Linked DNA regions of Danio rerio. The protein of the gene in region 1 interacts with the protein of each later gene in a pairwise test. Links are inferred from orthologs where the notes say so. Each region holds a gene or a part of one and is shown in the gene's direction. Other genes may lie near its edges.

The links.
Region 2: the proteins of dazap2 (region 1) and smap2 interact in binary tests that used the Homo sapiens proteins (3 or more experiments, as listed by UniProt). The two-hybrid records come from large-scale screens. The link is inferred for Danio rerio from reciprocal best matches to the Homo sapiens genes DAZAP2 and SMAP2.
Region 3: the proteins of dazap2 (region 1) and arid5a interact in binary tests that used the Homo sapiens proteins (3 or more experiments, as listed by UniProt). The two-hybrid records come from large-scale screens. The link is inferred for Danio rerio from reciprocal best matches to the Homo sapiens genes DAZAP2 and ARID5A.
Region 4: the proteins of dazap2 (region 1) and exd3 interact in binary tests that used the Homo sapiens proteins (3 or more experiments, as listed by UniProt). The two-hybrid records come from large-scale screens. The link is inferred for Danio rerio from reciprocal best matches to the Homo sapiens genes DAZAP2 and EXD3.
Region 5: the proteins of dazap2 (region 1) and fam168a interact in binary tests that used the Homo sapiens proteins (3 or more experiments, as listed by UniProt). The two-hybrid records come from large-scale screens. The link is inferred for Danio rerio from reciprocal best matches to the Homo sapiens genes DAZAP2 and FAM168A.
Region 6: the proteins of dazap2 (region 1) and si:dkey-106l3.6 interact in binary tests that used the Homo sapiens proteins (3 or more experiments, as listed by UniProt). The two-hybrid records come from large-scale screens. The link is inferred for Danio rerio from reciprocal best matches to the Homo sapiens genes DAZAP2 and RNF208.
Region 7: the proteins of dazap2 (region 1) and zc3h10 interact in binary tests that used the Homo sapiens proteins (3 or more experiments, as listed by UniProt). The two-hybrid records come from large-scale screens. The link is inferred for Danio rerio from reciprocal best matches to the Homo sapiens genes DAZAP2 and ZC3H10.

Annotation. Positions count from the first base shown.
Region 1 is NC_133198.1:36,680,357-36,683,856, forward strand, and holds part of dazap2 (DAZ-associated protein 2), read left to right. Parts: intron 1-3,012; coding exon 3,013-3,264; intron 3,265-3,500. UniProt on the Homo sapiens protein: In unstressed cells, promotes SIAH1-mediated polyubiquitination and degradation of the serine/threonine-protein kinase HIPK2, probably by acting as a loading factor that potentiates complex formation between HIPK2 and ubiquitin ligase SIAH1.
Region 2 is NC_133194.1:41,012,919-41,017,061, reverse strand, and holds the start of smap2 (stromal membrane-associated protein 2), read left to right. Parts: upstream 1-1,343; coding exon 1,344-1,446; intron 1,447-4,143.
Region 3 is NC_133183.1:62,209,681-62,213,970, forward strand, and holds the start of arid5a (AT-rich interactive domain-containing protein 5A), read left to right. Parts: upstream 1-1,490; 5' UTR 1,491-1,573; coding exon 1,574-1,577; intron 1,578-4,290. UniProt on the Homo sapiens protein: DNA-binding protein that may regulate transcription and act as a repressor by binding to AT-rich stretches in the promoter region of target genes.
Region 4 is NC_133185.1:11,585,442-11,588,941, reverse strand, and holds part of exd3 (exonuclease mut-7 homolog), read left to right. Parts: intron 1-35; coding exon 36-186; intron 187-841; coding exon 842-1,040; intron 1,041-3,500. UniProt on the Homo sapiens protein: Possesses 3'-5' exoribonuclease activity. Required for 3'-end trimming of AGO1-bound miRNAs.
Region 5 is NC_133193.1:4,904,518-4,908,017, reverse strand, and holds part of fam168a (protein FAM168A), read left to right. Parts: intron 1-2,870; coding exon 2,871-3,045; intron 3,046-3,500.
Region 6 is NC_133185.1:21,972,072-21,976,252, reverse strand, and holds the start of si:dkey-106l3.6 (RING finger protein 208), read left to right. Parts: upstream 1-1,381; 5' UTR 1,382-1,929; intron 1,930-4,181.
Region 7 is NC_133181.1:54,969,636-54,973,787, forward strand, and holds the start of zc3h10 (zinc finger CCCH domain-containing protein 10), read left to right. Parts: upstream 1-1,352; 5' UTR 1,353-1,369; intron 1,370-2,570; exon of another isoform or gene 2,571-4,152. UniProt on the Homo sapiens protein: Specific regulator of miRNA biogenesis. Binds, via the C3H1-type zinc finger domains, to the binding motif 5'-GCAGCGC-3' on microRNA pri-MIR143 and negatively regulates the processing to mature microRNA.

The DNA of each region.
Region 1 (3,500 bases):
ACAGCGATTTTATTATGAGTTGTTTCTAAAACCTTAATTTAAAACTGCAGTGATAAAATAACATTTAATTGTAAATTTAAAAATAAATAGTAATGAATACCAATGATTGATGAATACATTGTACTAATCATAAATTTAGACTTTATACAACTGCAGAATTGAATTTCTGTTTATCAGTTCAGTAGCATGTCACAGCATCATCTCATTTGTTAACTAATTACATTTAGGCATTTGGCAGATGCCTTTGTCTAAAGCAACTTACAATTTACTTAATATTTACAGGTGTGTGCAGAATAATTATTTAAAAAATCTTTTTTATGCTATTTTTTAATGTAAAATTGTTTGTGTTCACAGTAAAGTGTGGGATGCATAAACAAATCAATTGTATAAAATACAACCTGAAACCTCAAACAGAGTTTTAAGACTAGATTTGGTGATTTTTCCCAGATGTCGTATTGGACATACAGTTGAAGTCAGAATTATTAGCTCTTTTAATTTTTAATCTTTTCAAAAAATATTTTCTAAATGATGTTTGACGGAGCAAGGCAATTTTTACAGCATGTCTCAATATTTTTTTCCTCTGAAAAAAGTCTTAATTGTTTTATTTCGGCTAGAATCAAAGCAGTTTTTAATTTGTTAAAATCCATTTTCGATATTATTAGCCCCTATAAGCCATTTATTTATTTTTGTGTTGATAGTTACAGAATAAACCATAGTTTTACAATAACTTGCCTAATTAACCTAACCTGCCTAGTTAACCCAATTAACCTAGTTAAGCCTTTAAATGTCACTTTAAGCTGTGTAGAAGTGTCTTGAAAAATATCTAGTCAAATATTGTTAACTGTCATCATGGCAAAGATAAAATAAATCAGTTATTAGAAATGAGATATTAAAACTATTATGTTTAGAAATGTGTTAAAAAAGAATCTTCTCTTCGTTAAACAGAAATTGGGGAAAGAAATAAACAGGGGGGCTAATAATCCAGGGGGGCTAATAATTCTGACTTTAACTGTACAAGAATAACCCATGCTTTTTTGCTTAAAGGTGAAGACCCTACTCAATGTTTGTACCGCAGTATATTATACTGCAATTCCTCTCACATTCAAATACATTTTTCCTCTTGATTCCCGAAGACTTTTTTATGTATTTAAATCTCTAAAGGACGTTTTTAGCAAAGTGACACCAGGAAAAATGTTACATTTTTATCAAGTAAAAATGTATTTAATGTATATATTCATTTGTTTGTTGATTTTTAATTGTAAATTTATTATTGAAATGTTCTTGCCATGAAAATAGACTTGGCTGCTAACATGGCGTTAAATAAAAAACACATTACATTACAGTTCTCAGTACATGAGTGATGCATAATATCAAGAGGTATGAATTTACTTTTAAATGTAAATGAGTAAATATGGGTATATTTTGAGGGATTGGGACATCTTATTTAGGCATTTTTGTTTTTCAGGTGATTTTTAATCAAGTGACGCCTAGGCATGGGCCGGTATAAGATTCTGGCGGTTTGATAACCTTGGATAAAAATATCACGGTTTTACTGTAATACGGTATTGACATTACTGCTTTAAAATATATTCTTTTAAATGTTTGGGTTCCCCTTTGAACACAATATATGGTATTTTGAGAAACACTTAATATTTTGGAGCAGTAAACATGTCAGACTGAATAGTTTAAATGAATCCTTGACCTCTGCTGTCTTCAATTGTTTCAAAACACTGATTTTTTTAACCATTTAAAATAGCAACGTTGGACATCTTTTCTGCTGGAGATATGGTTGTTCTAAAAAAAATATATATATATATATTTATATATATATAAATAAAAAAATCATACAAATACCTTAGGAACGGTATAGCAAAAAATTGACGGTGTCTACCAAACTGCGGTAAACGTTGAAAACGGTTAATGTCCCATGCCTAGTGACACCAGATCTTTATTTGTTTGTTTTATTTATTTATTTAATTTAGATATTTCTAAAAATTAATAGTCATGGCAGGCACTAAACTCTTAACCAGAGGTGCTTAAACACACTTTTCTTATAAAAGGCCCAAAACCTTGACTGATGCCCCATTCACACAGGGCTTCAGCGTCAACGCTTGACAGAGGGTGTGTCTGAAGTTGGGGCTGATGCGATCATCATAGCAGCGTCAGCCAATGAAATTAGTCAGCAATAGGCCACTGTCTAAACTGGTGTATTTGCATACAGCGATCTGATTGGCTAAGGCTTCCGTCGGCACTTGAAATGTTGAGCGAAGAGTCCACAATGCAGTTCGGCAACACCTGATGTTACTTAATTCAAAGTGAATGGGAAGCGTTGCAGCTGACGCCCCGTGTAAATGGGGTGTGAGGGCTGTGGGTCGAAGTTAAAAATACCAAACTGTATTACATTACATTTGCCATGGAAAACTTCCTAATTGATTTGCTAATATTTAAAAATAAAAATAAAACATTGCTTTTAAACATTTTTAAACATGCAGTATCAGATTTAACATGTTATAATAAACTTATTACAGTTAAAACAAACAATCCCAGTTATTAGACAATGGTGTTCAATGCTGAATACACTAGTGGAGCTACTTCGGCCTTTGTCTTGATTTGCTTGCCGATGTCTTGTGCATTGTCTTTTATCTGTCAAGTGGCAGTAAAAGTCTGATTCATTTACAACATTTATATGAAACATTTCATTTTAGTTGGCTTTTTTTTTGGTAGCTACTCAATTAAACAAAGAAACTAAGGCATTCACCCCAACCAACTCACCGTCATTACTGTTCAGATGGGATGATGGGGCTAAACCAAAGGTTACCATTGGCCAACTTTGGCCCTACTTTAGGCACCTCTGCTCTAAACAATCAAAACTAAGATTTAAAATGCCATTGTCTTTCATTAGTCTAATTAACTTCAATTAAAACAATTGAAGTCTTGATATTAAGTGTGAATTATACACTTTTTGTTATCACCTACACAAATGTTTGAAATAGTTTTCTCTCCTACCTGCAGGTTTATCAGCCCAGATATATGGCTCCCCCTCCAGCCCCTGGACAAATGCCCCAGATGACCTCTGCTTACCCTGGTACTCAGATGTACATGCCCATGCATGCCCAGACTGTGCCAATGGGGGCCATGGCTTCTAGTGTCCCGATGGCGTATTATCCGATGGGGCCCGTGTACCCTCCTGGCTCCACTGTCATGGTGGATGGTGGATTTGATGCTGGAGCTCGCTTCGGGCCTGGCACTGGTAGTTCCATTCCGGTGAGTATATGTCCCCTAAACATGATGTGTTTTATCAGCCAAATGAGATTTCCATTATATTAGTCAAGCTCAGTTTATGCTTGAGGGTCACAATGATGAAAACTTTTAGAAATCTGAAGAAATCTGAATGACATGAAAAGACATGATGAGGTTGTTTACACAAGATGCCATATCAGACGCTCAGGACTCACTCATAGACATTTACTCAAAGGATAATTTAAAACATACTATGGAAA
Region 2 (4,143 bases), on another chromosome or scaffold:
GTGGTGCAGTGGGTTGTGCTGTCGCCTCACAGCAAGAAAGTTGTTGGTTCGAGTCTTGGCTGGGTCAGTTGGCATTTCTGTGTGGAGTTTGGATATCTGCTGTAAAACATATGCTGGAAAGTTGGCAGTTCATTCCACTGTGGTAAAAATGGGGACTGAGCTGAAAAGAAAGTGAATGAATGAATGTTGTCTGTATCAGTTTGGTTTTAGTGGTTACAGCTAGGGCTCTGTATGCACAGCTAGAGTGTTAAAACCAATGATAGCCGAAACTTCAGGTAAATTTGACTATTTATAATTTCACAAGGTTGTTTTACAGTATCGATGTTGTAATTACAATACATTCTGTTAAATAGACTTAAGCATTCATTTAGTTGTTCAAGATTAAAACGAGATGAAAGACCGTGTAGCCGCTAGTGCCGTCAGTAGCAACAGGGCTAGCACAGCAATTCCATTGAAAATTCTGTGGTAAAATAAGCTGTCATATGTTTAGGACATGGTGGGGTGAAATGGAATTTAATGCAGTGTTTCTTGTCTGATCTGAGACCCATTTCATATCGGATATCTAACAGGCAGTGAATATTGTTGATTTGTAAAGAAATCAAAACATGGCAATTTTGTAGACAGTGTACCGGAGGCCCTTGGGCTGCATGGCTGAAAATTAAAAGTCTGTGTGCATATAGACTATTTAAAGATTGTTCAAGGCGTTTCAAGCATTGCACTTTTAGTGAAATAAACAACAACAAAATATATGATGCTGTCCTTGAGACATCCCTGTACATCAACAAGAAACACGAGCGGATGTGCGCAGTGTCGTTTCTCCCCGCACGAGGGCGCAATTTCCCACATTCTGGAAAATACACAAAGAGGCAGTAATTCACATCACTGGACCTCGAACATCACGACCGCAATTGTCCATCTGATGCTAGATTTAGTTGTGTGATCTTTTAAATGCTCAATGTTTTAACCAGCACATGTCTGTACACGACAGAGGCCGTGCAGTGAGCAAGCGCAGCTGATAAGAGTAAACACTCAAGTGTAGAGATTGAGCTCGATGTGTGTCTCTGATTCTGCGGGAGGAAAGTTGGCTGTCAAGAACCAGCGAATGTGCACCGGGGAATATGGTGTTTTCATGTGAACAGTGGTTCAATGCTTTTTTCCTCTTCCTGGTAAGATTAGCGGAAGCCAGCAGTCTTGTAGCGTTTTCTCTCTCCATCCGCAGCAGCCGGTTGTGACAGACAGCGATTCGCTTCCCGGTGTATCTCAATAACGGACAAACATCTCATCATCTCCTCCACGGCTTTGGACTATTTATTACCAAGCAGTTAGATTAGCGATTTCTGAAGATGACAGGCAGATCAGTCAAAGACATTGACCGCTATCAGGCGGTTCTCACATCCCTTCTCACGTTAGAGGAAAACAAGTTTTGCGCGGATTGTTACGCCAAAGGTAAGATTCGTATTTCACAAGAGCTTTGCATTAAGCAGTTCTTACTTCGGTTTTATGTTTCTTCTGTTAGAAATAGAGTTTATTGTGCAGTTATGTTCTGTGTGTAGGTTAGGCCCTGTGTTTTTTACATCATATTGTGTATGTGTGTGTGTGTTCATATTCGAATCTTGAACGAATCGTTCGTTTGAACCGAGTCTTTATCGACGAATCAGTTGCTGGGCTTCCTCAAAATCATCCTAATGATTTTATCTCATAGACATTCAGGCCCGTGGACAGCCTGGAGAAAGGGTGGTTCTTTTTTCTCAAAAAGTGGACCTTTTGCAGTTATTCGCCTCGTTTTTTATTTAATTATAAGATTAGGTGACATTTTAAATCGAGGTAAAGTTGGTTTTACATTCGCACTGTTGATCAGTGACAGTTTGTGACATGCTCCCTATATTGTTTACCATGGTACTTTGAATATTCAATCTGAAAACACGTGTTCGTATGACTGCTAAACAATAAAAGCCACATTTAACGTTATTTGACGCTGATTCTATGTATGTTGTGATAGTCATTGGCTGCTAATATGATTCCACTATTTAGAATTTGCAAATAATATTTTTCTGAAATGATATTTGTGAGGAGAAATTCTGAATGTGTGAATGTAAAACCAACCTCAACACATTTTAAACACCTATTTTTAGCTGGATTAGTTTGTCGGATAATCATCATAACCACACTTTTTGTTGTACCAAAACATTTCCTATATAATTAGAAAAAAGAAATATGACATGTTTATTTTTGAAATACTAGTTCAAGTTCAATTATTTATAAAGCACATTTAAAAACAGCCACAAGACTGACCAGAGTGCTGTACATTAGACAAAGTAAAATAAAAAGACAGATTATAAAAACATAAAATAAGCCAAGAGAAACGACTTTATACATTTGAAAAAAAGAAGCAGTAGAAAGGACTATTAAAATAATATAAAAAAATACAAATTTATTACATCATATGTCATTAGAAAAAAAACTGTTTTAAATTTAAATTTGTCCATTTGAATAGAAATTAAAACATAATAATAATAATAATAATTTAGTGACTCACAATTTATCTAGCCTCTCTTGTAAAAGTGCTTTACTTTTTTTAATTGGTCCTGTTTTCTTTCTATAATAAGGTCAAAGAATAAAAGTTACTTGTCAAATGTTTTCTCCATTTAAAAACAATACAGTAGTGAAAGATGACTTTGCTTGTGTCAGATGTTTTTTGCACAGCTGGATGTTGGACTCATGAAAAATAATTGTTTGCATTGGCCAAAACTGAAGTCACACAAGAATTTCGCATGGTCTTAAAGCCTTTTTCGATTGGTTATTTTTACTATTTATGATGGCATAGCAGTTAAGACAGGACAAATGAGCTCATGTATAGGACAAATTCTGGACCTTTATTAGAGAGGGGTGGGTCTTGCAAACCCGAGCCTGGCTACGGGCCTGACATTGCTGTCAGTGATTTTCTAAAATCTGCTTATACTTTCTCAGAAATAAAGGTACAGGAGCTTTCTCTGTGGCAGTACCTTTTCAAAAGGTACTTATTTTTACCTGAAGGGTCCATAATGCTACCTCAAAGGTACTTTTTATGTACATTTGGGTACTAATACTAGAACTAAGTCTGACTCAACGCCAAGGACAAATAATGTACTGCAGTAAACATTAAAGATTAGTTGTGCTAATCTCTTTTATATTGTTACAGTGAGTGAATTTTAATTGAATGCAGGGCCGGCCCTGTACATTTGGGGGCAATAAGCAGAATAATTTTGGGGCCCTACCTTGCTCTAAATAGTGGAGTATTGCCATTGCAAACCAGCCCACAATGATTTTATTGCTTAATAAGTACAATCAATGACACAGAAAAGTAAAGTCTCATTTCTACTACTTAATAACTGTTCGAATGATTTGGACATTTTAAAACAGCACTGTTCAACTAGCAGCTTCAAAAAGGTTGTGTTTGTTTTTTTTTGTTTTTTTTATATATAAATTCCAAAAGCAAAAACTCTGCTATGAGTCGACAGTCAACAATACTAATCCAAAAGTGAAAATGCATTACTTAGTAATAAAATATACATTCTGAACTCATTAAAAACTCAGAAATCACATGACATTCACACAAAAACTATTTCTGCTTTAATAAAATTATGACTTTTTTTCTTTCCAGTGAAAATTTATAAACATTTAAGTACTAAAGCAGTCAATCAAGATAATCTGTACAATGCAAATAAAAATGATTTCAGCAAAGAAATGGCTCGTACCATCAGTGGGGGCCCCTTAGTGGCAGCGGGGCTCTAACCAGCCGCTTAATTCGCTAATAGTAAGGGTCGGCTCTGATTTATTGTGAATACAAATTGTAGGTTCTAACAGGGGCGGATTTGGTGTTTTGGGGGCCCTAAGCAATTCTGACTATGGGGCCCAAAAGTTTTAAAATGCACTTTTTGTACTTTAATTTGTTTTTGTACTGTTTATTTTTCTTCTACTACTCAATCTCTTTTTCTACATTTTGTCTTAATGCAAAATAATAATAACATGTAAAGCGTCTTGTAAAACCTTTTAAATTATTTGTTTTCTTAAAACGAATTCACAACTAAAAGTGATAAAAACTATTTCGCTTTTAAAACTAAATCTTTACCTCATTTAACTGCCTGGCTGCTTTATGATTAGAGA
Region 3 (4,290 bases), on another chromosome or scaffold:
CATCAATTATTGCATTTTAACACGGTCACAAATGTCTATATGTATTTGTTTGCAGACATTTTGTTGGTTTGTTGAACTTGAAGCTGACTGGCTTTAGTGGCTAACATTGGTCATAGATATTGTGGTTTATGTTTAATTTAAAATTCCAAAACATTTCTAATGTTGTAATATCAAGGCCAAAAAACAAAGAAGCATTCAAAATATTTTTCTTATTTGCCTTTTTATTTACTAATAGTTTTAGTCATAGTCATGCTAAATTTCTGGGCTTATGAAATAACAATTCACCCATAAATAATGCTATTCTGAACGTATAATAGAGGTTAAAAGGGAAAAGGGTACTTCTTAGTTCACTCGAAAGTAAACATTTACTCTCTCAAAAGGTTCCAAACATTTTTAAGTTGCTTTATTCTGTTAAATACTAACAAATCTATTTTAAAGCATTAGTGTAAACCTCTAACCATATGCTATACTCAGGGTTCATACACATTTTACTACTAAAATTACATGACTTTTTCATGACTTTTCCAAAACTTTCAGGTGAATATTCATAATCTAATGTTTCATTTAATGTCCACATACACTACATGTAAAAATCGAATTTATTACAGCATATCAAAAAATATGACAATCTGTGTATAGCCTTGTTTATTATCTCTAAATAAGTTTTAGAAAAGTATCTGTGTGACAACATTTTAGAAATGTTGGCGTGTGTTGTCGTAAGACTTAAGAATAGTACAAATTAGCTTTTTATGCATTATAAAACAATTACAATAAGGAATTCGAATAACAACATTCATCTAGGCTATTTATACAACAGAGCACAAATAATTATCAAATCAATAAAATAATAATACAAAAATGCACTTAAACCATAGAATAAACACACAAACACAATTAATGAAAGAAAGACAAATTTACACTGGGTTTAGCATCCGCAGTTAGAGTTAGCCCTGCAGTTAGAGATGGTTTCTAGACACCAATCTCAAAAATGTAGCTTGAATTACGACGAATGCGAGTGAAAGAGAGCCGAAGCTGAACTGCGAGGTGCTTTTTTTCCACCCCAAACAGAGAACATAACCCTTCAAGCATATTAACCCTTTAAACATATTTAAGGAGATGGATTTTTGTTTAACAAATTTATTTCAAGGACTTTTCCAAAATATTTTAGGTTTATTTGTTTTTCCAAAGCTTTTCCAGGCCTGGAAAATGCCTTGTCAAAATTCATGACTTTTCCAGGTTTGCCAAGATCGTATGAACATTGAATACTACAGGGAAAACAAACACTATGAAGTAAGCAATGTTTTCAGCTGTATTTAAAATATATTCTTCTGTGATCAACTGAATCTCAAACAGGTTTGGTAAAAGTAAATGATGACAGAATATTCAGTTTAGGGTAAAGTTCTCACAAAACTCCGAGTCCCATGGTTCTTGGTGATGTGCTCGTGCACGCTGAGAGGCAAAGCGCGCGCCCGTGGAAGTGAGAAGCGCGTGCTGAAACTGAACCGTCAATTACTGCTCAACCACGACAATAAACGCTGCTCAAATCACCATCTGCGGGCGACGAGCTTCAAAAATGGGTAAGAAGTGATGTTCGCTGATATTAAACTGTTACCGTCAATGCGGGATAACTTTATAAAGTCTAATACTAACATTAATATTGAACGAGCTCAGCTCGTGGCTATTTTAAAGCTTTAAACAAGATGTAAATCTCCGTGAACTGGTTTCCAGACAGACAGTAAAATCAGAGTAGACTTTAATAACGAAGTCAGAGTTGAAATGAAGCCAAATCCCACGTGTATAAGGTTAAATGTCCTAACATATTTATTTAAGATATTATTTGTGCTATAATGAATTGATGATGGCGATACATCTGAAATTACTTGGCTATTGAAATTATTTTATTGACTTGAATTAAAACGTGCATATCTTTTTACTAGTGTCTAGTATATTTTTAGAAGAATTTTTAAGAAGCAAACGTCTGTATAATATTGTTTATTATCTATTTAGTAATGTGTATTGTTGTATATATTAACTTATATGTATATATAAACTTTGCATTAGCCAGAAAGCTAGAATACGATTGATATATATATATATATATATATATATATATATATATATATATATATATATATATATATATATATATATTTAGTATAATTTATGTAGAAAAATGTTGATATACATTTAATTATCGATGATATACATGTTTTATTTAACAGATTTTTTGCACATTTTACAATTAACTACAGAGAAATAGCAAGTAGCTCTGTATTAAGCGTGACATTTTGATTTAGAAAGTATTATCTTGTAGGATTTACTACACTAATATGCTTTTTTTATTTACACCTTCAAAAATACATTTTACAGTAGAGTTATAGAAACATACTAGTCATATTAATGAAAAAAAAAAACATTTATTTTATTGGTAAGGATTAGCAATACGGTCTCATTTGTTAACAAATAGTTAAACACAAGTTTAGATGTTTTAGCAGCGAATCGGTACATGTAATGAACAAAAATGAATGTAAATCCAAGTATTTTTCATTGCTAGTTCATGTTAACTAATGCAACTCACTTTATTGTGAAGTGTTACCATATTATTAATGGTAAGTGGCTTGACGTTACAGCTATTTCTGTCATTTTGAGTAATTTGAATGACAGTAATAAGAACTAGATATGAGTAACCATAACAAGTTTTGCTCTTTGAGGAAGTGGTTTAGAGAAATAGCACCACATTGCTGTTGAAGCGTAAAATCCCTCATCAGATATACAAACTGATGCGAATGAGCCTTGATCTGCTTCATGAAAGAACTTTTCAGTTTAGGAAACTTTATCAAGCATCACAGATTTAAGGATAATTACCATTCAGTGTGTTCTGATGTCACGAACAAAGCCGTAATTGCGTAATGACGCGGTCATTGTGATGTTATCACACTTTCTGGCTTTGTTTTCAGGACAAGATGGTCAGTGCAGGAAATGGTAGACTTGCAGACAAGAAAGCCGCAGTTTAATCGTAAAGTTTGAATACTGAAGCTGACATATTTCTGAGTGATGCGGACAATAGTTGACTCCCAGAAACAATGCAGAAGTGTAGCAGTGATAATATCAGTGTTTTTTTGCGCTGCGGCTCAGAAGGGGAAGTCGAATAACAGCAGCCTGTTGAACTGCCCTGGCACAGGAAGCGTCTGATCTCGAAAGCCAAGCGTTTCTGGATGTTTCAGACACTGATGCGAGAAGGGGAAGTGGAGACTTTAACCCATAATTCAGTGCTGGTGCGGTTTGTCAATAAGATGCTGTCAGGTGCCTGATGGTCACATTGTGTTGCTGCTGTTCACACCAGAACGCCTGAACACTAGATGGCTTGATATGCATGCTTGTGGCCTCATATTTGGCCACAGACATGGTTTATGATATAAATATATGGCACATTTCTGAGACAAAATTCTAATTATCATATATAGTCAGAGTAGTTTATATTTAATTCAATTCATCTTTATTTCTATAGCACTTTTACAATGTAGATGGTGTTAAAACAGCTTAACATTGAAGTTATAATAAATTTAAACTGTGTCATTCCAGGTTTCAGAGTTGAAGTTCAATTTAGTGTAGTTTAAATGGTACTGCTGAAAGTCCAAACAATGAGGAGCAAATCTAATCGATGCACAGCTTCACAAGTCCCAAACCAAGCAAGCCAGTGGCGACAGTGACTAGGAACAAACTTCACCAATTGACGAAAGTGAAGGAAAGTCTCTCCTTGAGAGAAACCAGGCTCAGTTGGCACAATCATTTCTCCTCTGGCCAAACTTCTTGTGCAGAGCTGCGGTATATAATATGTAGTAAAGACTACATTTGTAAAATATTTTAAATTCAAATATATCTTATGTTTTATTTACTAATTTCTAATAACTAATTTCTTTTGTCTTTACTACAATCGAAAATTATTTGTGCCTCTTCACTGCTAAAAATCCCATTTTTACTTAGATTTTAGTCTCGTGTCTTGTCCAAATATCTAAAAATTTTTAAATCAAGATGCATTTTCTAGACAAGCACTGAATATTGTCTTGTTTTAGGGAATAATATGTCAAAATTAAGTGAGTTTTTTTTCAATAAAACAAGCTAAATAATCTGCCAATAAGTTAAGCAAAATAATAATATGTCTAAAGGAAAAGCTTGCTTACTCTGTTTGCAGATTAATTAGCTTGTTTTAAGGAAAAACTGAGTAAACTTTGACTCATTATTTCTGAAAACAAGACAATATTTTTAGTTTGTCTAGAAAATGCTTCTTGA
Region 4 (3,500 bases), on another chromosome or scaffold:
ACACACACACTCTGACAAGTGTATTTCTATCATAGAGAGTTGGGTTCTGTTAGCGGTCCACCAGAGTCCTGGGCGCCTCTACAGTCTGATCAGGAGAAATACTACCAGCTGCCTCTGCCCAGAGAGAACGTCCACTTTGTAGAGACACTAGAGGAGGTTGACAAGTGCAGAGAAGCTGTTTTAAAGGTAACACTACTACTACTGTACCTTTAATATTATTTATTTAATAAGCTATGTTATGATCAGTGTTGGGTAAAGTTACTTTTCATGTATTAAAATCATGTTTCTATTTTAATCTTTAAAGAAAGTATGCAAAAACAACAGAACACGTACTTTCATATTACTTTTCTTAAAAAGTTATTTGAAAAAACTGACTCAAGATTGTAATATATTACATTTAAACATAAATTTTCCCAACACTGGTAATGATTTTTGTTTTTCTGTAGTTGAAATTGTGACGTGATATGCTACAAAGCAGTGATCATGGGGGTATAAGCAAAACCCATTGGGCAGTTGATGTTGAGAAGCTGAAAATAACTGGTTAAAATACCAATCAGATTGATGTCAAAATCTAAATCATTACAACACACATCTTTGGACAATACAAATCTACCCAAATCACCCAAGACCGCTATATTGCACATTGATACGTTTTTTTGTTCAAAAAGTCAATTGAACATTTTCGATACTCTCCGATGTTGTTTTTAATCCCTATGTCTTCGATATGTAAATGCAGTGCAACCATGTGATCAAACAAACGAGATTGAATGCGACTTTATGTTAGCAGATACAGATGCATTCTGGTTTCCACTATTTGTCTCAATATGTCATTATTTCTCAGTCGGGCTGTGTGGTTGGAATGGACATGGAGTGGAGGGCCGGTTTTGGCACAGTGTCGTCTCAGCGCGTGGCTCTGATCCAGCTGGCTGTACAGGATCAGGTGTTTCTGCTGGACCTTTGTGCTCACGCCATCAGCCACCACAGCACCACCGTGGACTTCATTAGGGCTCTGTTGTCCGACAAGAAAATTCTCAAGCTGGGTAGGAGAAATAATCTTAATTGAAGGCATAAAGTGTTTTGTGTGTGTGTGAATGCTAAGTTACGCGTAAAATGTATGATTGGCATCATTGGTCAGGGGGGTCTTATTTCACTGCATGTAAAAGTGTATGTGACAAAAAAAGACTTTTCATCTTCATCATCATCATTGCTACAATGTTTTGGTTGCATCATGTGACATCCTGTCCTGTTATTGATTTGTTTTGTTATTTTTGGGGTTGCATTATTAGAGTTCCCTCAAAAATGAAAAGTGCTGTTAAAAGGTTGTTCAGAACTAAGGCTAAGTTCACACTGCGAGGCTTAGTGCTCAAATCTGATTTTTTTTTTCCAGATCAGATTTTTTTTGCATGGCTGTTCACATTGCTCTTATCAATGTGGCCAATATTAGATTTGCAGTGCAAACAGCATGGTCCTAAACTGACTTGTCTATGCCCACAATGTGTATACTGCATGAGTAAGCACGTTGTCGGATCATGCCTATATGATTATTTTCCCTTTCACAGACAACCGAAATGTATTTCATGAACTGTAAAGGGTTGTTCTGCTACTACTAATGTGTATTTCAGAATTTGAGACCTAAAATAAGTCTCTTGTGATTGAAAACACTGATAATTTATGATTTATGACAACCAAGGTGTGAGTCTTTCTGACCACTGGTGTAGTAAACTCATCAAGAGTTTATGAGCAGCCGCAGACTGAACTGTGTAGAAGGAGTTGGTTGATCTCCGTTTGCAGAGTTTTTAAATTTTACTTCGTTATAAAAAACAGACACGTGCAGGGGTGTTGGGTGCTTAAGCACCTGCCCTTTTTTCTCTCAGAGAGAAAGTTCCCCCTCCTTTGCACACGGATCCCCACTCGCAACTCCCACAACGCTCTTTGGCTTTGCGATCAACCCGTGCCTCAATCATTAACCAGATTAGTTAAAGGGTCACGAAACACCAAAAACACATTTCGTATATGTGTCCCACACTACTAAAAACACTTTTAAGACACCTATATTTCACTAAAAAGTGTAAATTGGTTGTTTTAGCGTTATTTCAAGTAAATTCGTACTTCCGGTTTGAAACAAATTTTTGAAGCTGCGTCACGGTCATGACATAATAGCGTTGTATTCCAGCATGCAGACTGGACGTTTGTGCCAGAGTGTGTCTTATTACGTCTTACAGCCTGCTGCATTAATGCATGAGTAAAGCTTGGTTCAAACCAAGAGCGACCAGTGCTCTTTGTTTATTCAGTTTGTTCGTATCGAACTAAGTTAACTATAGCACCGAGTGTAAACATGTTAGCACCACAACCAAACTTTAACCTCGTGTAGGGTTTTTACCGCATTTAGTGACCGGAATAACACACTTTCTGACGCTACCTGCCGTGTGCATCTAAGTTTCCGGGAAATGCAGAGTTTTTTTTCTCTCATTCGCCGTGCGGTATCAAACATTACATGAAAAATACATGCTTAGAGCAGATCCTCGAATCAAATATCTCGTTTGTCGCAAGGGGCATGAATGAATTCCCTGAATGAAAGAGCCAATCTGCTGTTAAAGTCCAACATTTAATAATTTGGCAAATAATTCGACTACAGATGTCCATGTAGGTTAAACACCATCACTTTCTCCTGTGTGTTTATTTTGACTCTGAAACTCGCGCGTGCCCAAATAGACACTCCCACACCCTCCCACTTTAGTTCCTCCGACACTCCTCCCTAAACAGAGCTGGACACGCCCACTTTTCTGACTTTTTCCAAGAACACCCTGCTGAAACAAGGGGGTTTCATGGCCCTTTAACAAGCACCAGTTTTGCCTTTAAAATCTTTTTCAACATGAACAACCAACTTTCTGTAATACTGTAATCGCCTTGTGTGCCATTCTACTATGATGCTGAGGAGTGGAGGATGTTTGTAGCACAGAATGATGATGCATGTTGCTCAAAGATTATGTAAAAGTCACATGAAATCCGATATAACAGTTCACACCTAAATGTTTAGAGATGGTGTGACCAAAGTCCCTGTAAGCATTCTATTGTCTTTGGTATGACACAATGTGTACCTATGTGTGCGGTTGATGTACCCCTTGATGCTTCTCACGTCTTTGTTGCAGCACCAGTGGCACTGAAATTATGCACCAAAATTCATATGCTGATTCGGTCCTGTGCACACCGGTTACATAGGTACTGGTGCCATAATGGCACTGGGTTTTGATACCAAACCCTGGTGCTATTGGTCTTTGCTCGACTTTCTGTCTTTGGAGGATAAGCGAGCTCTCAGATTTCATCAAATATATCTTCATTTGTGTTCTGAAGATGAACGAAGGTCTCTGGGGTTTGAAACAACTTGAAGAGTAACTAACAGCAGAATTTCATTTTTGGGTGAACTAACCCTTTAATATAAGGGGTGTTGGCAGCATATGAAATTAGGCTGTTATGTGTACCTTTTTGACAGGGAACATATT
Region 5 (3,500 bases), on another chromosome or scaffold:
AGCCTGAAGGACTCAGTTAGTTTGATCAGGTGTGTTTATTTAGGGTTGGAACTAAACTGTGCAGAGCTGCGGCCCTTTTGGAACTGGGTTTGACACCTGTGGCTTAGACTCAGATTACATTAAAACTAGTTGCTGTCAAAAGAATAGTCATGATTAATCGCATCCATTCATTCATTTTCCTTCGGTTTAGTCCCTTTATTAATTAGGGGCCGCCACAGCGGAATGAACCACCAACTTATCCAGCATACAGTATGTTTTACGCAGCGGATGCCCTTCTAGCCAAAACCCAGTACTGAGAAATATCCATACATTCACACATGCACTCACACACTTATAGCGCACGTGTTTGGACTTTTGGGGAAACCGGAGCACTCAAAGGAAACCCACACCAACATGGGGAGAACATGCAAACTCCATACAGTATTGCCAACTGGCCCAGCCGAGACTCAAACCAGTGACCTTCTTGCAGAGAGGCGACAGTGCTAACCACTGAGCCACGCCCCTAATCACATCCATTAAAATATTAAATATATTTTGTGCGTACTGTGTAAAATTTTGTGTATATAAATATATGCATCACTAAGTTGTATAAAATGTTTGTTTATTCATATATATATATATATATATATATATATATATATATATATATATATATATATATATATATATATATATATATATATATATATATATATATATATATATATATACACGTCTTAGTGCTGGGCTAAGATTAATAGCATTAAAAATAAAAGTTTGTTTTGATCATCCAACCAGGATTAGGTTATAGTTTAATTAGGGACTATAAGTAAAGTATCATTTACTTATGTGCCTTAGAAAAATCATTACTGGTGTCCATTGTAAGACTAAAATCAGACTTACATTTTTGTTTCGTCTGTGAAATTATTATAAGAGACAATTCCATCAAATCTAATAAGAATAAAAGGTCTCAAAGAAGAATATAGGAATCTAACACTGCACTAATAAGAATATAAGGTCATTTTGTTGTAGTATGGATTTCTTTAGCTATTTTAACCCATAGCTAACAGTCATTTTTTACAATTTTCAGCACAGTATATTCAGAATCTATATGCACTTTTTATTATTTTATATAGATAGATAGATAGATAGATAGATAGATAGATAGATAGATAGATAGATAGATAGATAGATAGATAGATAGATAGATAGATAGATAGATGTGTGTGTGTGTGTGTGTGTGTGTGTGTGTGTGTGTGTGTGTGTGTGTGTGTGTGTGTGTGTGTGTGTGTGTGTGTGTGTGTGTGTGTTTGTGTGTGTGTATGTATATATATATATATATATATATATATATATATATATATATATATATATATATATATATATATATATATGTATGTATGTATGTATATATAATCGCCACAATCGAGAGAATGTGGAAAACGGTATTGAATGTTACTTCATTTTCACCTTGGTATTTGTCTATTTATTGCCTTTTTATGATAAAAAGAGAATTATTTGAAACTTAATTATATATTATATATATAAATTTTATATTTTAAATCTGTTTTGTTCAAATGCACCAAAATAAATTGCCTATATTCTCTGAGAAATGAATACAAATATTCAATTTCAAAATAGGGTGTACTCAATTATGCTGAGCACTGTATATGCACATTTAAAATTTTAGTTTCTTGAGATATTATTTAAATATATACCATTGTAGGACATTATAATTAATTATTAACCTCACTAGAATTCATAATTACTCAGTTCAGATTTATAAAGCCTACCTATTGTACATATTTATGTTTATTTCTTACAAAACAGTATGATTATGTGGCAATATATGTTTATTAAAACACCTTTAACCCTGAGATCATTTTACAAAAGTATTTTTAATACATACTTATGTTCAAAATGACACATTTATATAATTTAAAAATCTCTCTTTGGGTATTTTGAGGGTTTTAAAGCATCTGATGAACATGTTTTTCTTTACTTAAACTATGTATTTCTGTAGAACCTTTTTATGTATCTTTAACAGATCAAAACAGCCCAGAATGCATCAGAGGCTTAAAATATTGCTAACAGTTGTGTTTATGCATTTGGCAGACACATTTACACTTGGTTAGCATTCCTCAAAAAATATTTATATAATGATATCAAATAATGACTGAGTTACCAGCAGAATCGGCTGATTTATTTGCTCAGAATATTCTGTTTTGCTCAAATGCTTCATGTCAAATAATAGACTGGAAATGTTGTTTGAGTATCAAAATGTATTATGATGCTACTATAGTGCAATTTTAATTTTACTTTACACCTTTGTAGCACTTATAATTATTTTAAGTTAGCTTTTATATGTACAGTTTAGCATTTATTTTAATAATAGTTTTAGTAATTAAAAAATATTCATTTGTTGTTAGATTTAATTTCTATGGCTTTTATTTATTTATTTTTATTTACTTAAATTGTTTTACTTATTAGCAATTAGGAACTGAAGTAAAATCAAGTCAAATTAATTAAATTAAATAAATAAAATTGCACAAGCTTGAGTACTAAAACATGCTTAAATAAATTGGTTAAATAGTAAAAGCTGTATGTAAAAATACAATAAAATGTAAATATTAGATAGATTCAACCGGCAAATAATAAAATAAAATAAAAAAATAACATTAAGCAAAGTTTTTCATTCAATTATTTTAAATGTATTTTAATTATATAGTGTAACATTTAGCGTAATGGTAGTAACACAGATTCAGTACCATAGCAAACACTGCAGTAATATGTACTGTGTTGGAACATACAGCACTGCACTTGTCATATATCTGTTGATTGTCAGCTGTGTGTGTGTGCTGTAATGTTTGTGTGTGCGTTTTTCTCCTTAGGGTGCTTATTTCACACAGCCGGTGTATGCAGCTCAGCCTCACGTCATCCACCACACCACCGTGGTGCAGCCCAACAGCATCCCCTCCGCTATCTACCCTGCTCCGGTGCCCGCGCCACGTTCCAATGGGGTGGCCATGGGCATGGTGGCCGGAACAACCATGGCCATGTCTGCCGGTAAACCACAAATAAATCATTACATAAATCCACACTTTCTGTCTGATCTTCCTATTTCATGTGTATTAAAATCACAACAGCTGGAAAAATATAAAGTAAATATATATAATTATTTTATACAAATAAATATATATATACAGTTGATGTCAGAATTATTAGCCCCCCTGAATTGTTAGCCCACCTGTTTATTTTTCCCCAATTTCTGTTTAATGGAGAGAAAATGTTTTCAACACATTTCTAAACATAATAGTTTTAATAACTCATCTCTAATAACTGATTTATTTTATCTTTGCCATGATGACAGTAAATAATATTTTACTAGATATTTTCAAGACACTTCTATACAGCTTAAAGTGGCATTTAAACACTTAACTAGGTTAATTATGGTAACTAGGCAGGTTAGGGTAATTAGGCAAGTTATTGTATGGCGATGGTTTGTTCTGTAGACTATTGAA
Region 6 (4,181 bases), on another chromosome or scaffold:
GTAAGAAAATATTATTTGGTAAAATAACCCGGAATCTCAGTCACAAAAATGATTTGTTATTCTTGCCAACTGTTGATGTTCAACCGCAAAAACAACAACAAAATTTCTGGTAAATGTGAGGATAACAATAATGGGTGTGTATGGATGTTTCCCAGAGATGGGTTGCAGCTACAAGGGCATCCGCTGCGTAAAACATGTGCTGGATAAGTTGGTGGTTCATTCCGCTGTGGCGACCCCAGATTAATAAAGCGTCTAAGCTAAAAAGAAAATAAATGAATCATAACAATAATTCTAGTTTTTTTCTACCTTAAAGATAGATAGATAATCTTTTTCTACGTTTCCCAGTTCTGGGTTGCAGGAATGAATCTTTTTATATTAAGTGTAAATCAGTATTTATGAAAGCAACCTCAGTATAAGGTGTCCCATGGACTTACGCTGAAGTACCAAAGTCATTTCCAGAGAATAGAAAAGGGCAGAGACTCAAGGGTGTTACCATTTCAACCCAGTAAACCCTAGCGACCACATAAAACACCCCAGCAAACACTTATGACTTACGATAAATACAACATTGCAACTGTGGATTATCCGTAGGTCGGCACAAGGACATGTGTAAAGCTAAAACTGATGAAAATCTCTGTCTGTTATATAACACAATCCCCAGTCCCAGCATCCCTCATGATGTCCTCGCTCCGCGCAGATGAATAATGCACAACCATATACCAACTGTCCTCTCCAAGCATCTTACACCTGTTTATTGCGCACCACTTACTTACAGTGTCATCATCTGTAAGCTATGTGCCTCTTCATAGTTGCATTGTTTACAGCATCTCCATCAGCGTCAGAATGATCCACAATGACAACACACAAATATTTAAACACGTGTGTGTGTGTATGTGTGTGTGTGTACAGATTTACAAGGACCCTTAACTGAATAATGACATGGCTATGACCTATTCATACTCTATAACGATGGTTTACGAAGACATGACTTTTTTCAGCATAATTCAAAACATTTAAAATTTGTACTTATGGTTTTTTGAGATTCAGATTTTTCTGTGAGAGCCAAATAATAAGCAGTATAAAATACATGACGCCTATGGAGAGTCCTCATAGAGCGTATATACAAGTATGTATGTGTGTGTATTTGCATCTGTACACTGTTTAAGGCAGAGAGTCGGAGTAAAACAAAGAGACGGATGGAGGCTGAGAGAAAGAGAGCTTGCGGATGGAGGAGGGAGGATGAGTCGAGGGCTCTGATTGGTTGATTTCTTTGTTTTTTTTCTCCTAGTGAAAACGTGATCCAGCCTGCAGAGGCACTGCAGCAGAGAGAGAAAGAGAGAGAGAGAGAGAGATGTAAGAGTGGAAATACTCACAGAAGCTTGTACTGGTGAGTCAGAGAGAGTGTGTGTGCGTGTGTGTGAGTGTTTGCTTTCAGACAGAGAGAAAGAGAGGAAGAAATGGAAAGATAAATGGCCTCACTGGAAGATTTAGCAGAGAAATAGCAGAGCATACGAGTGAGAGGAAAAGGTGGAGAGCGGACGAATCCTCTTTCTGGCTGAGTGAATGAATGAGTGAGTGAGTGAGTGAGTGAGTGAGTGAGTGGAAGAGCAGGAGCATCGGTGGTCCTGAAGAAGAGCAGAAGAAGGAGAGAACGGTGCTTTGTGACGCATCTGACATCTCGTCCTCCATCTTTTCCATCCTCCACCCGCCCATCCATCCATCTGTCCTTCTTGGAAGTGTTTCTCCTCCGTGCTTTGGGATGCAACAGGAGCATCTGGTGGCCGAGAGAGGCTGAGATACAGCAGCAGATTTACAGGAACTTTGTGTCCCCATGTGAGAACCACGCCAAGATCTTATGAATCGACCTCATCAGTCATCTCAAATCCAGAGACCTGCCACGAAATATTCACTAGAGACAACTAAACACAGGTGAGGGTGCTTCTGAAGGAGTGTTATTGTAGCATGTTGACAGGAGGTAAATGTGCAATGTTATTTGAATGTTGTACGCTGTGAAGGTGCAGATTTTGTCTTAAGTTATTTTTATGGAATCTGCTTCTAAAGATTTTAACAACATAAAAAAAGATGTTGGTGTCTATTGAGGTTATATAATGAAATAACGTTTTGTGTGATTTGATTTGACAAATTCTTTAAGAAGTACAGATGTACATACAACATATTACATAATATGTACACTAGGTCAAAATATAGGTTTAATTAAGTTTTACATCAATCAAATATATGTGGTGAATTCAACTGATCAACTGAAAGGATGTTATAGATTGGAGTGTATTTTATATTTTTATTGTAAAAATTTAAATTGTACTATTGTAAAACTGTTCCTTATATCAAAATTACATATTGTATTTATATATATATATATAGTTTTAAATAATTTTATGTATATGGAACTGATTTAAAAATATAACTAATATGTAATAGATAATAAATGATATATTATTTCTTTTATTTATAAAATTCTAATAATGTTAAATTGTTATTATACAAAAATTAGGTATAATATTTAATTTACATGTTTTAATTAAATTAAATATTGACAATAATTTAATTAAATACAAATAATCAAAAGTATTCTATTGCATTTTTAATAATAATAATAAGAATAAGAATAATAATATTTAATATTATAAATAAATTATAAATGTAATTATTTATTGTAAATAAAATCGTTTACCTTATTATTTTGATAAAATATTAATAATATCTTATATATTTATTAGAATATATATATATATATATATATATATATATAATGTATAAAAATGTTATGTATAATAATGTATTGTAATATTAAATATTACAATATTACAAATATATTAAATAATAATAATTATTATAAATAATGTAATATTTTAACGATCATCAGTAGTTTTCTTTTGTATATATATCTATGTGATTTTGTAGTTTTTGAGTATTTTCCATCTCAAATTCGTCATATTTTCATTTTTCTGCATTTCCACATCCTCACTCAGGACATGTGCACTTCAGTACTTGTGTATATGTGTGCATGTTAACCATTTCTGCAAAAGGGCAAGATGCAATTCATAATCGCGTGTTCAACACAAACACAGATTCCATCAATGACTCAAATGAGTGGGAATCTGATCTCATGAGACTACTATACACTGACACATACTAACCGTCATGTGTGGTTAAGCCAGAAACAGACCTGTGCTTGAGCATGTGTGTGTGTATGTTGCATGCACATGCGCTGCAGTCAGTGTGCTGCGTTTGCTGCTCTGGTTGCATAACCGCCCCTCCCACGACACTGCACTAAAAACTGCTAACACAGATGATGCACACACTCCCAGAATACTGATAAGTGTTGAGAAAATCACCGCCAAACACCCAGAAGCCCCTGTTTGCTTCCTGGACTGTAGATTCAGCCCCTACTGTCTCAATGGGGATTCAGCAATCAATACTGTCTGTCAATAATTTAAAGGAGGACAGCAGATAAATGTGTGTGTGTGCACCTGAGCTCATCCCAACATCAGCTGGAAATAATGAGTTTGTGTTGGTGAATGTTATTGCTACTTGTTAAAAGTGTCACCAATTAGTGATGACGGTGTTGTTGTTTATCCTGGTTGGGGAAAAGTCCTCCAAAATGATCTATAATCATGTACTAAGATTCATGTTTAATATGAGGATTGAATCAAAATTTTGGTTCAAATTTGATTGGCATGGTTGTTGTATTACTGATTAGAATGTTTTCGTTATTGTTGTTTTTGTTGTTGTTTTATTAGACAGTTTCCAACTAGTATTCTGATTTTAATCCAGTGGGATACTTTTGGCTACGTATTATATCAATAATAATGTATTATTATTATTAATATTATTTTGGGAATAAGTAAATTCTAAAACAGTTTACATTGTCATTCCTTTACCATGTGGGATTCTGAGTTGGTAACATTTAATTAATTTTCAGTGTTTTCAATAGGATATTTGTTTAGTTTTATATTGGGGAAAAATAAGATTAGGATTAAATTAATATATTTCTAAATATTGTATATTTATATAAACTCAAATATTTATTATTTTTTATAAATAAATATTTATATTTATAATATTTATACATACTATAAATATTCCATAAATATTCAAATAATTTATTCTCTCTCTCTCTTTCTTTTTATAGTTAATATATAATTATACAGTTGATATAT
Region 7 (4,152 bases), on another chromosome or scaffold:
TTATTTTCTCCAGCTGATTATTTCTTTTTTCTTTGATAAAATTAAAGCTTCTAAGTTCTGTTTGTTAAAACCAAAGCTGTCTTGCAGTGCTGTTTTGGTAATAAATGGAAAGCAAATTACATTTGTCTCCTTCCCTTTTTGGCTGATCTGAAAAATGGTCATATCGGTGACTAAACCATAATGTAGTCCGAACCGTGAAATTTGTGATCAATTACACCACTAGTTTTAACCATATTCCTATCATATCTAGTGGATTTAAAATACTTATTCTGGATTTTTTAGTGCTCCGTTTCAATTCAAAGGTGTTTATTTTAATTGAACTTCCAGAAATCTCAATTCAGTATCTCTTCCAAACCATTCATTTTTATTGAAAGGAAATTAGTACATAATATTAATTACAGAAAACACGTCATACATTGGTGATGCTAATCTGTAAGAGTATATCTGTTTTGATCTGTTCACCAATGTTGATTTGCTTGATGTAAAACCACCTTCTTTTCTTTTTCTTCCAGGTTCTGTGCCCACTGCATTCCTGGTCGACAACTGAATCTTTATAAGATTATTGGAAATGAACATTGATGTCTGATGTTCTCATTAATGTAAAAAATAAACTATTGACAACCCTCATGCTGTAGTGAATTATTGGCTCTTGTATGTGAATTAAATGCTGAAATCTTGTGCAGTAGTTTATGTATATTAAAGTTGGAAAATTACATCATTGGAAAATTTATTTTAATCCCAAACTCCTAATTCTGTCCAGATATCTGTTGTTCCAATACATTTTTGTGTGAAGTAATGGATTTTACTCCTTAGAGGTTTATTATTATTATTATTATTATTATTATTATTATTATTATACATTTATTGTTAAGGATCAGATATTTAATTTTTTAAAGCAGCATAAAAGGATGTTTATTGTATCTCTTCAAGTGAAAACAGACATGCCAACTTTTTCTGAGAATGAAATCTTGTACTGTACTGTTTCTGAGTATACTAGATGTTTCTAATGTATGTTCAGTGTCAATAAGAGCACATGTAAACAAATAACACATTATTATTAACATTTCCTTCGCAACATCCCGTTTTTTTACCATAATTTTTAGAAAAATACGGATGTACCATGTCACATCCATGTACTAGCAACATCTCTATTTTGTTGCACGTTTACCCTGACTTGAGGACTTTTATTTTGACGTTCATTTTCCCCGTGAAGTGCTGCACCGGTAGTGCTTCGAAAAAGAAAAGGGGTCATTCATAGAGCAACTTGTGCTATAATGTTAGCACTCGCACTGTTGACACATGCTCCGTTTAGCTAGTAATGTTGTTCAGTTTATTCAACTTCGTTGGTTCGACCGGGTTTGTGGAGCGGGTAAGTTATTAATGGTAATGGTTTAGCTTCGCGTCTTTGTGTCTTGTCTAACGTTACCCGCGTTATCCGGGCCTTTGTGCCTGGAAGTAGACTGCGTGTTTTAACATTACTTCATTAGCTGAGTGTGGATATACTGCAAACTTAACGAAATAATGTCACCAACAATGTTTGTTTACTTATCGGACAACACACTTGGTTGTTCATTCACATTGAGTATATGCCGCAATGTGCTGTTGAAGTATTTGGCGCCTCATAGATTTGACATGACAACACACTGCTAGTAAACAAACAGTCACAATGGTTGTTTATAAAGATATACACGTTTAATATATCAGGTACGACAAGAGGTTGGGGGAAAACATTAAAATAAAATGTAGTTATTAAAATTATTACATACTATATTGATATTATATGTACACACTGCTACAGCTAAGTATATTTGAATTTATTTGGCTATAATAACAAAGGATTGCCAGTCTTTCTCGGTTTACTGCAATCATTAGGTATGGATTCGAGTTGAATGCTAATATCTTATTTGTTCTATAAAAGGCTGTTGTTTCTCCCAATTTCTAAAAAAACAAACAAACAAATTTTTAGCTTATTGTGAGTCATTTCAAGTGTTTTTTTTTTTTTTGAGAATAGCCAACATTTTTTTAAGGTCAATAAAAACGGGGTTATTGATTTTTTTTTTTTTTTATTCAATTCAATTCATCTTTATTTCTAGAGCTTTTTTTTACAATGCAGATTGTGTCAAAGTAGCTTCACATAGAAGATTATAGTGAATTGAAACAGTGTCAGTTCACCAAAATTAAATAAAAAATACCAAATATTGATTTATTAACTCCTTTAAAGTTCAATATAGGGCGAGGCAGTGGCGCAGTAGGTAGTGCTGTCGCCTCACAGCAAGAAGATCGCTGGTTCGAACCTCGGCTCAGTTGGCGTTTCTGTGTGGAGTTTGCATGTTCTCCCTGCCTTCGGGTGGGTTTTCTCCGGGTGCTCCGGTTTCCCCCACAGTCCAAAGACATGCGGTACAGGTGAATTGGGTAGGCTAAATTGTCTGAAGTGTATGATTGTGTGTGTGTGTGTGTGTGTGAGAATGTGTGTGTGGATGTTTCCCAGAGATGGGTTGCGGTTGGAAGGCCATCCGCTGCATAAAAACTTGCTGGGCAAGTTGGCGGTTCATTCCGCTGTGGCGACCCCGGGTTACTAAAGGGACTAAGCCGACAAGAAAATGAATGAAGTTCAATTTACAAGTATCTTGCAAAATGCATTTGGAATAGGATTGTGGGAAATTATTAACATTTACAATAACAAGTGTTTAGTGTTTTGGTGCTGCGTTGTTATCCTTAAAAGTTGTTATCCTTAAGATCCTTATCCTTTAATATATTCTCAAATAATTCTTCTTCTGTTTATTTCTGACTAGGTTTTTTTATTATTAATTTGGAAGCTATTGATCCTTTTCACAAGACAGTTTAATGATCATCAGCATCTTAAATCTTTGAACTTTTTAATACAAAAAAAGTATGAACATTTATATATATTATATCTAGGCATGGGATGATAACCGTTTTCAAAGTATACCGCAGTTTGAAAAAGTTAAGGTTTCAAAAGTTTCTGCAATGCCGTTCCTAAGGTATGTGTAAGACTTTTTATTTACATTTTTTGTTTGATTTTAGGACAACAGTATCTCCAGCAGAAAAGATGCTGTTTTCATTTGTACAAAAACTGAAACAAAAGACGGAAGAAGTCAATAATTTTTGTAGCCTGACACATTTACTGTTCCAAAATATTATAAAGGTTTCTCAAAATAAATTATAGTGTGTTCAAAAGGAAAAAAAGTTTTATTTTTTTTTACCCAGGCATTTAAAAAGACAATATTTTACAACAGTAATCACTATACTGTGAAAACGTGATATGATTATCCAAGGTAATCATATGGTCAGAATCTTATACCGGCCCATGCCTAATTATATCAGGCTGGTGTCCTGCTGAGTATGGCTGTTTCTCAATGTGTGTTCTTCAGTGATCTTGTGTTCTCGTGTAAGTCATAATCAACTGCCAAAGTTCAGTTCTAATAGGGTATATGCCTATCTAGTGTTTTTCCCATATTGATGAACTTCCGGTGACCTGTTATTGTGAACTTTCTTCCATTTTATACGGCTCCTTTCACAGCATTAATGTTGTAATGTCATTGAAATACATTCAGTTAAATAAACTTTGGCATTCATTTAGTTGCTCAAGCGCAAAACGAGACAAAGTCGTTTATTCGCACGCGCCTGTCAGAATCGGCAGGCTAGCGCAGAAGCTCCATTGAATATACTGGGGTAAAATAAATGCTCATATTATAAAGACATGGCGGGGTAAAATGTCATTTAATGCAGTGCTTCTTGTACAATCTGAGACCCACTTTATGTCAGATATTACTTAGCTAGTGGAGATCGCTGATTTTAAAGATGACAGACCTTAAACGCGCCAGTTTTTGCATTGGCATACAATTCGCCTGAAACGCTTAACCCAGGTTACTGGCAAATTGAAAGTCCTATTAGCATGCTTCGCCATATACCCTATACTCAAGACTGTAAAACAGAGGACGCGAGAAAGTTCCCGGCTGTGTTTTTGACATCGAGGATGCGTCGATGCATACTTGAGTGCAAAACTCGCTCGAGAAGTCCAAGAAGTCATTGCGGTTGAATAAGGAGGTGGGAAGCGCAGCAGTTCATATAAATTTATTAATTAAGTACGGAGATATAACTTATTTATCTCAGGAGTGTTCCTAAATGAAA